Oryza sativa Japonica Group: one gene and its partners. The protein of the gene in region 1 binds, or shares a complex with, the protein of each later gene. Links are inferred from orthologs where the notes say so. Each region holds a gene or a part of one and is shown in the gene's direction. Other genes may lie near its edges.

Region 1 (4,185 bases):
GTTGGGAAGGCGGTCGGTAGAACAAGGGAAGACGATAGGGATGCCACTGAGCATCTGACGAAGGTGACTCTTCCCAATTCCCATTCCACCCCCTTCCTGGGATCAGGAGAGGACACCGACCACCGCTCTTCGGTACGGTGGAGCAAACGAAGTGTCGTCTAAGAGGTGGCTAGAGACGGGCGGGAGACGTTGGACTCCAGCAATCGAGGACACACATGTCGACATTTCCTATCTCTGGAGAAGCTTCATCAAGATCGAGCTCGCTTGCCTCATTGGATTTGCCTCGTTGCCCTCACCAAGAACGGTAGCGGAACAAGGTTGCCACGCCCACCAAGGATAGGGGGCATGTGCTCGCCATTGCCTACAGCTTGAGTCTGTCATTAAGGTCAACGACATGGACGACGTGCTCCAGCGAGCCATCGAGGATGACCTCCCCCTCGGTGGCAATGATGACTACAAGAGCTCGTCGACATCTACCCCTTGTCCTCCGACGGGTGGTGGCTATCCCTTGGCCATGCAGAGATATGCACGTGACCCTCCTCTCTCTCTCCCTCACTATTGCCATGTATGGCTCCACAACATATAAAGGAGAAGGACTCTTAGATCTCGATGACAGCGAGGTCAATCACCATCCTTGTCCATTGCTAGGCCTTATTAACCGAGGCGTTGATAGAGGTGAAGGTGGGAAAAGGACGTCGGATTAGAGGAGGCGACAGAGAGAAGGGGAAGTGGCTTGAGGCTCGGATCTGTGAAGGAGAAACACTGATGGGACCCGGCTTTGTCCAGATCAGTGAGGGGCCTCGGTGTGGCAACCGTTGGAGCCCACAATGAAGAGGACATCTACGGCAGCACTGGGCCTCTCCGACTCTCCATCACCGCTGTGGCCCTTCCCTCCTTTGCTCCACAAGGTTGCCAACAGAACCAAGCTTAGTTGGTTGTGTCGGTGGTGGCTTTGTCGTCTAAGTCACTGACACTATTCATGCTTGAGCTCGTCACCGCGTGGAGAAAGGAGAGGGAAGAAAAGAAAAAACAAAAGCATGAGGAGAAAGAGAAGGGGACGACATGTGGGTCCCACATGCTGACTTAATCGGTTAGACCAGTTCAATGAGCCACGTTAACGAAAACCACCCTCAAAATAACTAAAAAGAGTTTTTTTATTCACCGGTGTTAATAGCCGAGGGTTCGATATACACGGTTTGCGATTAAGGGAGAACGAATCAGATTGGACCTATAGTCGAGGGAGACAAATTGGACTTATTCCGCTCAAATACTAGGGCCCTGATAAGGCCAGGCCTGGGCTTCGAGCTTCGGCCCAAAATCAACATATCCTTTGGGCTTTTGGACTATGTTGGGCTCTGAAGCTAAGCTTAGTTCACTTCACAGCCAGCGCCGACGAGAGGAGGAGCAGATCGGCTAGGGTTCCGGCGATGGCCTCCTCGGCGGCGGCGCGGCGGCGGCAGGAGATGGCGGCGGAGGGGCAGCGCCACCTGGAGGAGACCATCGCCGCCGCGTTCCAGATCCTCTCCTCCATGAACGACGAGCTCTGCAACCCCACGCTCTGGTCCTCCTCCTCCGCCGCCGCCGCCGCGGCGGGCGGCGCCGGCGGACTCCAGCACCACGGCAACAACCACCACCACCACCACCAGCACCACCACCACCACGGCGGTCTCCCTCCGCCGCCGCCGCCGCTGCACTCCGCGGACTCCGACGCCGCCGACGCCGCCGGGGGAGGGCCCGGGGGCGCGCCGGGCTCCGGCGGGTCGCTCGACGAGGCCAGGCACCGGTACAAGGTCGCCATGGCGGCGCTCCGCACGTCCATCGCCGCCGTGTCGTCCTGTGCTCAGGTCAGCACACGAATTTACCCGACATTGCATGCTCCCGTAGTATGTATGCAACCACGAAATGCGTGTTTCTAGTGATCGTCTAGTGGAAATTGTGAAACGTATTGCACTCTTTGTTGATATCAAGTTAGGTGCTTATACATAGGTAAGGGAGCCAAATAATTTTTGCAAAAGAAAATTTCTTATTATTGATACCAATGTAAGGGAATGTAAGGGATGTTGTGATGTAGGTTCGGACTACATGGATGTGGACTATATATATGTTTCAATCAACATGAGCTTTTAGTGTTCAATGTTCATGAGACAAAAATAGTAGTTTTATATGATTCTATTTTTAGCAGTAAGTGTAATCCTGATGTGCAAAATATGGTGCTATGGAGAAACCTCATAACAGTTTACTTCTTTGTAATGATGTTGTGGTTTTCTTCGTAGGAGATGGGATCGACAGAACACAAAGCTGATCAAGCTGAGATTGAGAGATTGGAAGAACATGCATCTGCTTTGAGAAAGGTACTATCTTGGGAATGTTCTAGCAATATAATCAATATCATTTTGCTGTATTCAGAATTTTTCCCTGAACCAGTTGGTAACTGGTGCTTATTTAGCCATGTCAATCCCAAATATTTCCCAAACAACCTGTTTTGAACATAATGTGTGTGTGTGTGTGTGTGTGTATATATATATATATATATATATATATATATATATATATATATATATATATATATATATATATATATATATATATATATATATATATATATATATATATATATATATATATATATATATATATATATATATATATATATATATATGTTCCTTTTATGCTTCAATCATTTTAATTCAAAAAGTCCTGAGAAGAGTGTAATCCCCAATTTTTACCTGAAACCATTTTAGATAGCCAGGATCTAGTTTGGCAAGCTGTGATACTGTGTTGCTTGTAGTGTTTTGGATAGTCATGTTCATTCTGTTGAACTCGTCAAAAAAGCGTTCCATCTTGATCTTTCCTGGCAATATTCATGCTTGTTAAGTTGTTATCTTATCATTGTTTTTTCTGCACTGGATACTGCATGTCATTATTGTTTGCATACTTGGATTTGCCTGCTAGTTTAGAACTTACTCCCTCCGTCCCAAAATAAATAAACATAGTATGGAATGTGACACACCCTAATACTAGGAATCTGGATAGGGGTCTGTTACTAGGTTTGTTATTTTGGGACAGAGGGAGTAAGTTTTTGCAAATCCACCTTTGATGCTAATTGGATTCTGGACTATTTAGCAAATCCTTTTCATCCTTTGGAGGGCTGTTGGCTGTAATGGCCTTGTAAGTCTCAACTACTCCTTATCTATGCTAGATCATTATAGCATAAATACAGATTATTCTCCTTGATGTGTATAAATGTGTATAGAAAAATGGATTTGTGGCTTATTCAGTTCCATTTGTATGATTTATTGAGATCAGTGATTTTCATGTACTCCTATGTTTGAAGTGTAGCAAACCATAGTTATTAAGACCGGACCGGTGATCGAACTGTTAGGGTACTCGGTTCACTGGTTTATTGGTCGGACCAGTCAAACCGCCGGTTTAAAGCGGTTCAAATAGATGTGTGTTAGAATACTAGAACAACATGTGACATAGCCGGCTGAGACTCTCCGTGGAAGCAAGGAGGTCTTGGTTCGATCTTCAGTTCAGCAGGTTTTTTCCTATTTTCTCTAACTCCACGTGACACCCTCCAGCAGTCGAACCACCTTCGGTTTTTGTCTGGTTCTGCAGAAAACCGCCCGGTTCAATGGGTTTTTGCCGGTCTGTTTGCTCAACGATCTTTTAGCTGGACTGGACCAGCCAACGCCCTGGTTCCCTTTTTTTCTGATCGGACCACTGGTCTGGTCTAGTTCTAATAACTATGTAGCAAACAGTGTTCTCTAATGCCTCGATTACATAGTTTGTTCCTAAAAAGTTCAAAGCATTTCATTTTAAACATACACTGGTCAGTACAATCTCAATTAGCTGATCCCATGTGTCCTAGTTCAGATTTCTATATATGCCCGTGGTATCATGGTCTGTGGAAGTTTTGAGTCCTCACGCTTTTGACATATATAATACATTTTTTGTTTCAACCTAGTAATGTGGCATACTGTTCTCTGGTACCGTAAACCAGTCTAATACAGGATGTTTACTGCAGGAAATTGAAAGCAAAAACAAGCATGTAAAGCTCCTTATCGACCAACTCCATGATTTAATATCGGACATATCAATGTGGCAGAGTCCTTGCTCAGTGTGAAAACTCATCGGCATTTATCCTTTAGGAATCCAAAAATCATAGCTAGAAGTATGTTAATG
Region 2 (3,500 bases), on another chromosome or scaffold:
TTCATGATGTTTGCTAATCAGCTCAGGTGCCTTCTAGAACGCTCACATAAAAAAAACTCAGTGATCTGTTTATGCATAATAGAATTGTTCCTCACACCAAGAGATGATTGTTTGTGCTTAAAATGCAGCTATGGAAATGGAACCATGTTCTCTTCTCGACTAGTTATTCAATTGCTGTGTCCTTTCTCCTACGCAGTGCAATTATCTACTCTGGAATTGTGCAGTTATTTCAGTTATAATGATTCTCTTCCAACATTTAGGAAAGACCAGAAACAGTTCAATTTCATTATTTCAATATTGTTTACTAAGAGATCTGGCAGATCAAAATTTGTTTACTGAAAAAAAAAAGGGGAAGAAACAATCGAAGCATCCTTACTAAATGAATTGGATTATGAATTACGAATCATTGCTCAACTGCATCGTATAATGTAACATTTAACGACTGTAAATGTTTACTGCAAAATGGAATGAGGGGAGGGGGGCATTTGACGGCGCATTACCTCGAACACATGATGTGCATCCAGAGACGAAGCTCCACTCCCAGCAGCGAGATCCCAAAGGCAAATCTTCTTATCATACGAGCCGCTCAGCAGCAACCCCTCCTTCATCGGACTCCACGCCAGCCCATACCCCTCCGCTTCATGCCCCCTGAGCACCACATCGGCGCCGCCCTTCTCGCCGCCGTCGCCAAGATGGTACACGTGCACCTCATCCACGCAGGTCTTGGTAGCCACCGTGTACGGCCTCTGCGGCATGCAGCGGGCGCGGTTGACCTCGCCCTTGTGCGGCACCGAGCGGGAGATGGACACGGACGGGGCCGGGACGGCACCGCCCGCCGCCGCGGCCGCCGCCGCCAGGCGGGGCGGGAGCGGGAGGGCGGCGTCGGCGAGTAGGAGGTGGTTGGGCGTCTCGTCGGAGGTGTGGGTGCCGAGGACGAGGCGGTGGGAGCGGGCGGAGCCCGGCGACCGGGAGTGGGAGGGGAGCCACTGGACGGTGAGCGACGGCCACTCGAGCGGCTGGGAGATGACGAGGTCGTAGAGCACCGGCGCGTTCTTCTTCCAGTTCTGGTGCTCCTCCATCTCCGCCGCCGACGACCTCGCCGCCGTGGAGGACCCGCCGTCCATGGCTCTTCTCTTGCGAATTGCGCGGGAAGTGGAGGCGGCGCTGTGGTGCTCTCCCGCCAAAAAGATTGGGGAGACGATGCGGCGGAGTCAGAAGAGATGGTGTTTTATGGCCGAGTTAATGGGCTTTTATGGGCCGTAAAGCCCATATAATACAATTTGGAGGCCCATTAGCCCATTAAGAGGAAATTTTGTCTAGTAGCTTCTGCCTCGCGTCCGTCTCCTGCATCCGCAGTCGCCGCCGCCGCCGCCGCGATGATGCAGTCGCACCACCCCTCGCCGGCGCGGCTGGGGCTGACGGCCTCGTCGCCGTCGCTCCCGCCCAACCCGGCTGCGGGGAATCCCACCTCCTCGCCGCCGCAGGGCAACCCTAGCGCGGCGGCGGCCGTGGGCGCTGCCGCTGCCGCTGCACCAACCCTAACTACATCGCCGTCGCTGCTGCCGCTCCTGCCGCCGCTCCCGCGGGCGCAGGCGCTCCTCCAGCTGATCTCCGCGCTCGCCTCCAACCTCTTCGAGCTCTCGCCGAGCCGCGCCGCGTGGATCTCGGCGTACCGGGGGTCACTCCCCACTTTCCTCCCCTCGCCGTCCTCCGCGCCGCCGCCGCCGCTCCCGGCCCCGATCTCCTCCACCAAGGAGGCGCTGTCGCTGCTCAACACGCTCCAGACCCAGCTCTTCGAGGCCGTCGCCGAGCTGCAGGAGACCCTCGACCTGCAGGACGCGCGCGCGCGCCTCGCCCGCGAGGCGCGCGCCAAGGACGCCTCGATCCTCGCCTTCGCCAAGAAGCTCCGCGAGGCGCACCACGTGCTCGACCGCCTCGTCGACGACTACGCCGACTACCGCCGCGACCCCAAGCGCCCGCGCGGCGCCGCGGCGGCGGACGACCCCGAGCCGGTGTCAGACGGCGACTTTGGCGCGTCGCTGCACTCCAAGCTCAACCTGGACGACGTCCTGACGTACGCCCACCGCATAAGCTACACGACCTTCGCGCCGCCTGAGCATGGTGCTGGGCTGCCTCTGCGTGGGGCGTTGCCGCCTGCTCCTCAGGAAAATGAGATGAGGATGTCGCAGCTGTATCAATTTGCGGATTTGGATGTTGGAGTGCCGAAATCCCAGGAAGCAAAGGAGAGGACTGCAGCAGAGGGAGATGCCACTCCGCTTTTTCAGCCTTCACCAACCCAGGAGGCAGCTGTGCTACCAATCACTGTGCCGCATCCGCATGGGTGGCGGAACGGGGCGCTGCCTCTCGAAATCCCGTTGCCGCCGCCTGGATGGAAACCCGGGGACCCGATCACTCTACCGCCGGATGGCATTCTGGCTGGTGTCAAGGGTGAGGAGCCACGGGCCAGTGTGCAACAGATGCCGGTTGTGGTGCCAGCAATGGTGCCGAAGGCACAAGAACCGATACAGGTTCGGCATGTTGATCTTGACATTAACAATAGTTCTAGCAGTGATGAGTACAGTAGCGACGTCGGGAGCTCTGAAGAAGATGATGAGGATTAGTTCCTTGGTAAGCTATTTTATGATTCATGTTTCCATGCCGTTGTAGGTCATGTACTAGTAAGAACAAATAATGCAAGCTCTCATACATGATTATTCAAGATCATGCAGCAATATACTGGTATTGAATAGAATTGGGTGGCGTATCATGTATGTGTTGATTAATTAAACCATCTCACTAGTCAATTTGCTTCGATATATGTAATCAAGCATGATGGTCTAATTTCCTCAGGATGTGCTGGTGTTGTATCGTCAGAAACATGGCTTCTTTTATGGATATTTAAACTTGAACATGGTGTGTTTAATGTTTGATGCCCTTCTTCACAGATTACAGGTTTCAGTCATAATTGCTTGCTAGGCTTGCTAGCTGGTTATGGGCTTTTCAATCAAGTAATGACTTCCATGTTCATGCACTCTGCTTAATTTTTCTCATTGTTTTACCTTATGTCTGTACCTCTTATTGCTGCAATATAGTTTGAAAACCTTTATACCATTGTACCAAAGAGTGGTAGCTGAAAACTCAAGAATGTTCTATAACTCAAGCTATATAAGTTATGAGAAGGGAGTGGTTTCAACTTGTAAGTTTGCACTTAAATGAACACACCATTTTTCCTATCTTATTGCACAGCATGGGGGATCTTCCTACTACAAACATGATACTAGTACTATAGGTCTTAGTTTTCATTCACGAGCTTATCTTGCAGATGATAAAGTAGTAATTGACTCAAATGGGTTAGAACTGCCAAAGCATCATCAGAAGTAACTCCTTTTATAATTTTATTGGTGCATATCGCATCTTTATGTACTTTTTTTTCCCAATTCAAGAGCTGCATGGTTATCAAAGCGGTCTCATCGTAATTTCAGTAGCCTTAGCAGGGTTTC
Region 3 (4,100 bases), on another chromosome or scaffold:
GGAGAGGAGGCCGAGCCGAACTGGCGTCCCGCCGCAGTCGCCGGCTTGTGGTCGATCTGCAGGCTGTCAATGCTGGGGTAACTTGCTGCTGTCCCGAAGCAAAAAACAACAATTTTCCAGTGTTGAAATCAATGTCATCCAACAATCCAAGACATGTAAAACGTTACCACTGGATGAATGATGCAAGAACAATGGTAAATGTCAGATTCAATTCAGGGTTCTCGTTCTTGTGGAGTCACTCACATTCAGATGATGCGGCTGCGACGAGGGCACACCACCCAGCTTCTGCTGCTGATACTTGCTCCCGTTCGCCTCCTGCAGGAGATCACCATTGAAGAGGCTGCGACAACCCTAGCTCCTCCTCCTCCTCAGACCATTTCCTCCATGATAGGCTCCCTCCGTGGCCGCGGCCGCCGCGTCCGCCCTCGCGCTCCTCCTCCTCCTCCTGTCCCGCTCGCCGGTAGCACGAGGAGCCGCGTCCACGTCATCACCTACCGCTCCCCCGCCGCCTCTGCGGCCGCGGCCGCGCTCCCGTGGATCGACTGGGCGCGCACGGCGTCGATGAAGGCGGCCCCGGGCTGTTGTCCTTCGCCTCCGATCCGGGCAGCGTGGGTCGGTCGCTGGCGCTGCTCGTGGAGTTCGCTCATGGTCGGCGGCGGCGAGGCCCGGCATGGTCGGGTGAGGCAAGGTGGGAAGTCACGCGGGCGGCGGGTGAGGCTCATGGTCGGCGGCGGCGGCGAGGCCCGGCATGGTCGGGTGAGGCGAGGTGGGAAGTCACATTGTCGGCGGCGGCGAGGCCTGGCATGGTCGGGTGAGGCGAGGTGGGAAGTCACGCGGGCGGCAGGTGAGGCGGGCGGCGTGGCTGGCGTGCGTTCTTTTTTTCGTTCTTTTTGGCGTGCAGTTTCTTTTTTCGGAGCAAGACGCGGTGTTAATCCGGTGCTAATTGTAACCGCAGGATTAATCCGGCGCTAATTGCAATCATGGTGTTAATTACACTAAACAACTCGTGCTTTTTATATTAGTCTAGATTAGAGTCCAAGTCCGATTCAATTAGTGTTAACTAATCGGGTGAGTTAATTGTTAGTAATAGTTTGGTTTAATCCTGGGCCGTCCGATCCATTTGTGTGTGGATCAGATCTGGACGCGTGGTGGTGATGTGATGCAATTTTCCGCGTGGGGTCCCTTGGTTCCTTCGTAATCAAGCTAGCCATGGGCCCACGTGCCAGTCAGAGAGTGGCTTGCGCACTGTCGATGTGCTGGGCCCACCAGTTTTCTTTGATGGGCCTAGATGTAATTGGGCCTTGGTGGATAGAGAGGAGGAGGAGAGAGAAGGAGAGGGAGAAGAGGAGGAGGAGGAGGTCGCCGGCGGCGAGGAGGGGGACGAGATCGCCGGAGATGGACATCATCTCGCAGCTGCAGGAGCAGCTGAACGAGATGGCGATGGTGGCGGTGAACACCTTCGGGACGCTGCAGCGGGACGCGCCGCCGGTCCGCCTCTCCAACAACTACCCGGACCCGCTCAACCCCGCCGCCGCCGCAGCAGCAAACCCTAACCCCGACGACCCCGCCCAGCCGCAGCCTGGAGCGGCGGCGGCGGCGGCGGCGGGAGCTCCGGCTGCGCAGGCACAGGCTCCGCCGGCGCAGGCCCAGCCGCCCGCGCTCGACCTCGCCGAGCATCCCAAGGCCATGAGCCACGCGCTCGTCCTCGCCGCCAAGAAGGTACGCGTCTTCCGTCGCTTATCTTCTCTGCTTGCCACCTGCTCGATGAAATGCCTGAGTGCCTGCTGGTTCTTGGGGTCTGACGCTTTAGGGCTTGGACTGTAATTTTTGGTGTGACCAGCCTTAGCATTTTTGTGTGATTGCAACCACGGTCAGGGTGCCTGGTTCTTTGAAAATTCTTCTACTTACAGAATCATATCTTCTATAGTGAGATTGTTCATGTAGTGTGGTAGAGTACTTTAGTTGCATTGTGCTGTTTTTTAGCCCTCTCGAGATAATTTTGAATGGATCTGCAAAATAGGAGCTTCACTCATATTATTCCTCGCAAAGAAGGGTTGACGATGATGTGGATCACACCAATCTTTGTACTGTTCCTCGCAAAATGTAGGTGGGATGATGGTATGCAGCACACCAACCTCTGTCTCCAGAGGGCAAACTTTGCATCTGAGAGTACACTTGAAATGTGCTACTAGCTACTGTTTCCAATACCGTTCTCTTTTTTTTTTGGTTTTTTTATGCAGTTTGATGCTCTTGTTTCTGCGTTGCCACTATCATCTGAAGAGGATCAGCTGAAAAGAATTAAAGAGCTACAGGTATGTCTCAGTTTTGCCCTCTGAGCAGTACATTGTGAAAGGGTGACATTAAGCTAGTGTCTTGTGAAGATGGTATCTTTGTGCATGTTTCCTTCTGTTTTTTTTTTCCTACGCCTTGTGGATGGAGTTTCATACTAAGGTTGTCCTCCTTAGTCGCTTGCTTTCTTCTGAATGAAGGTTTAGCAGACGCTCGGCAGCATGTCCTGCCATAGTATCAGTATTCATGATACTTGTGTCCTGCAGCTAAAATGCTTATGAATTTGAAATGCGCAGGCAGAGAATGAAGTTGTAGGCACAGAGCTTCAGAAACAACTGGAAGCTGCTGGTATGCTTTGCTATTACATTCTTGGAATATTTTGCCTTCATTATATAATTCCTCACCATGTTACAACTGATTATTTACAAGTCCAGTGTTTTACATGTCTTGTTGCTTTTGTAGAGCTGGAGCTGAAGCAAGTTGAGGCTCTTTTTAATGAAGCTACAGATCATTGTATAAACTTGAAGAAGCCAGAGTAATAGTTATCAATGTAAGTTTGGATTTCTCCCTTCACTATCTCAATAAATCTTTAGCTTTTTTTGTGCTTGCAAAAAATTATGCTTGCGCTTATGATATGGGATTATTTTGTGACCAGCTGTATAATCCGCTTGACTTCCCAAACTTGGTACACTGTATTATCAGGAAGTCAGGATACTGATAACAATTTTGTTCTTATGGTGCTTTTTGCAGTACAATATTCTACATGCACCATTTACTAGATGGCTGTTGGCATCATGTCCATGATCAATTATTGGTTTATGTAGTTTATGTACGATGATGGCCTGAACAAAACATAATTATGGTGGATGTTGACCTGTTATATTAATCCCTCGCAAGATGCTTTCATAAAACCCTCTGGGGGCTTGTCTTTCTGTTGATCAGAAAATTCCAACACAGTGTTGTTACGTATGATCGTAGTATCACTAAAATGACTTATGTTTGCTTTCCTGTCATATCAGGTAACGGAACCCATTTTGGAGTCATGAACAGATGAAGGTGGAGATGTGAATGCCAGCTGCCGATGCTACATGTAGACTCAGTTTTAGTATCAAGTTAGCTGATGCTCAACAATATTCCAGTAGTACTTGTTGGATTAGGAATTAAACCTAGCACTGTAATTTACAGTAACTTGAATAGTTTCAAGCTGGTTCGTTTAATCTGAAATAATTTGAGCATAACTTCATGTTTATTTATTATAGTTGGGCCACTGTTCGTTCACAGCAGCACAGGACCATATAGTGCTATGCAAATACAATTAAGACATGCCTAGGATTCATACTCTTTGAACTTTGAAGAACTGCACTGAAGATATGGAACAATATTATCTCGGTATAAAGCATTCCTCTCTAAAGATTACCCAAACATTGAGGCTAAACATGACTTGAATTCTAGCAACTCTGACACTGAAATATAGAACACCATATTTTCTAGGGGCACTTGGACAAACAAAACATCCCTTGAAAACTTTATTTGTCAAGCTCCAGAGATTGGCTGGCTAACTTGGAGCAAACTCTCAACTCAGGCATACTTGCAATTGCCAGAACCTGCAAAGGTTGGCAAGAAAGCCATGTAAATTTGCAGGATTCAGGTGAAAGAAACAGCAAGTGAAGCAAGCTTTGAAGAGGCTAATACTTACTGGGATCAGTGATGGTGATGAGGCCAGTGCCGTTGAAGAAGCAATTCCATGAGTTCCTCCCCCTGGCCTGGTAGTAAGCGTTCATGGTGACCGACGCCCGCGTCGGCAGGCTGCC

Evidence for each region.
Region 2: mediator of RNA polymerase II transcription subunit 30 (region 1) and mediator of RNA polymerase II transcription subunit 4 share a complex: the UniProt entries of both Arabidopsis thaliana proteins name them as parts of the mediator complex. The link is inferred for Oryza sativa Japonica Group from reciprocal best matches to the Arabidopsis thaliana genes AT5G63480 and AT5G02850.
Region 3: mediator of RNA polymerase II transcription subunit 30 (region 1) and mediator of RNA polymerase II transcription subunit 21 share a complex: the UniProt entries of both Arabidopsis thaliana proteins name them as parts of the mediator complex. The link is inferred for Oryza sativa Japonica Group from reciprocal best matches to the Arabidopsis thaliana genes AT5G63480 and MED21.

What each region holds. Positions count from the first base shown.
Region 1 is NC_089038.1:19,469,286-19,473,470, reverse strand, and holds the start of mediator of RNA polymerase II transcription subunit 30, read left to right. Parts: upstream 1-1,357; 5' UTR 1,358-1,427; coding exon 1,428-1,844; intron 1,845-2,273; coding exon 2,274-2,351; intron 2,352-4,027; coding exon 4,028-4,126; 3' UTR 4,127-4,185. UniProt on the Arabidopsis thaliana protein: Component of the Mediator complex, a coactivator involved in the regulated transcription of nearly all RNA polymerase II-dependent genes.
Region 2 is NC_089043.1:25,716,225-25,719,724, reverse strand, and holds mediator of RNA polymerase II transcription subunit 4, read left to right. Parts: upstream 1-1,301; 5' UTR 1,302-1,376; coding exon 1,377-2,621; 3' UTR 2,622-2,942; downstream 2,943-3,500. Other genes in the region: histone-binding protein MSI1 homolog, read right to left, coding at 501-1,124. UniProt on the Arabidopsis thaliana protein: Component of the Mediator complex, a coactivator involved in the regulated transcription of nearly all RNA polymerase II-dependent genes.
Region 3 is NC_089042.1:2,024,950-2,029,049, reverse strand, and holds mediator of RNA polymerase II transcription subunit 21, read left to right. Parts: upstream 1-1,280; 5' UTR 1,281-1,395; coding exon 1,396-1,719; intron 1,720-2,020; exon of another isoform or gene 2,021-2,103; intron 2,104-2,240; coding exon 2,241-2,312; intron 2,313-2,585; coding exon 2,586-2,637; intron 2,638-2,751; coding exon 2,752-2,828; 3' UTR 2,829-2,839; intron 2,840-3,308; 3' UTR 3,309-3,542; downstream 3,543-4,100. Other genes in the region: major pollen allergen Ole e 10, read right to left, coding at 3,868-3,893, 3,986-4,100. UniProt on the Arabidopsis thaliana protein: Component of the Mediator complex, a coactivator involved in the regulated transcription of nearly all RNA polymerase II-dependent genes.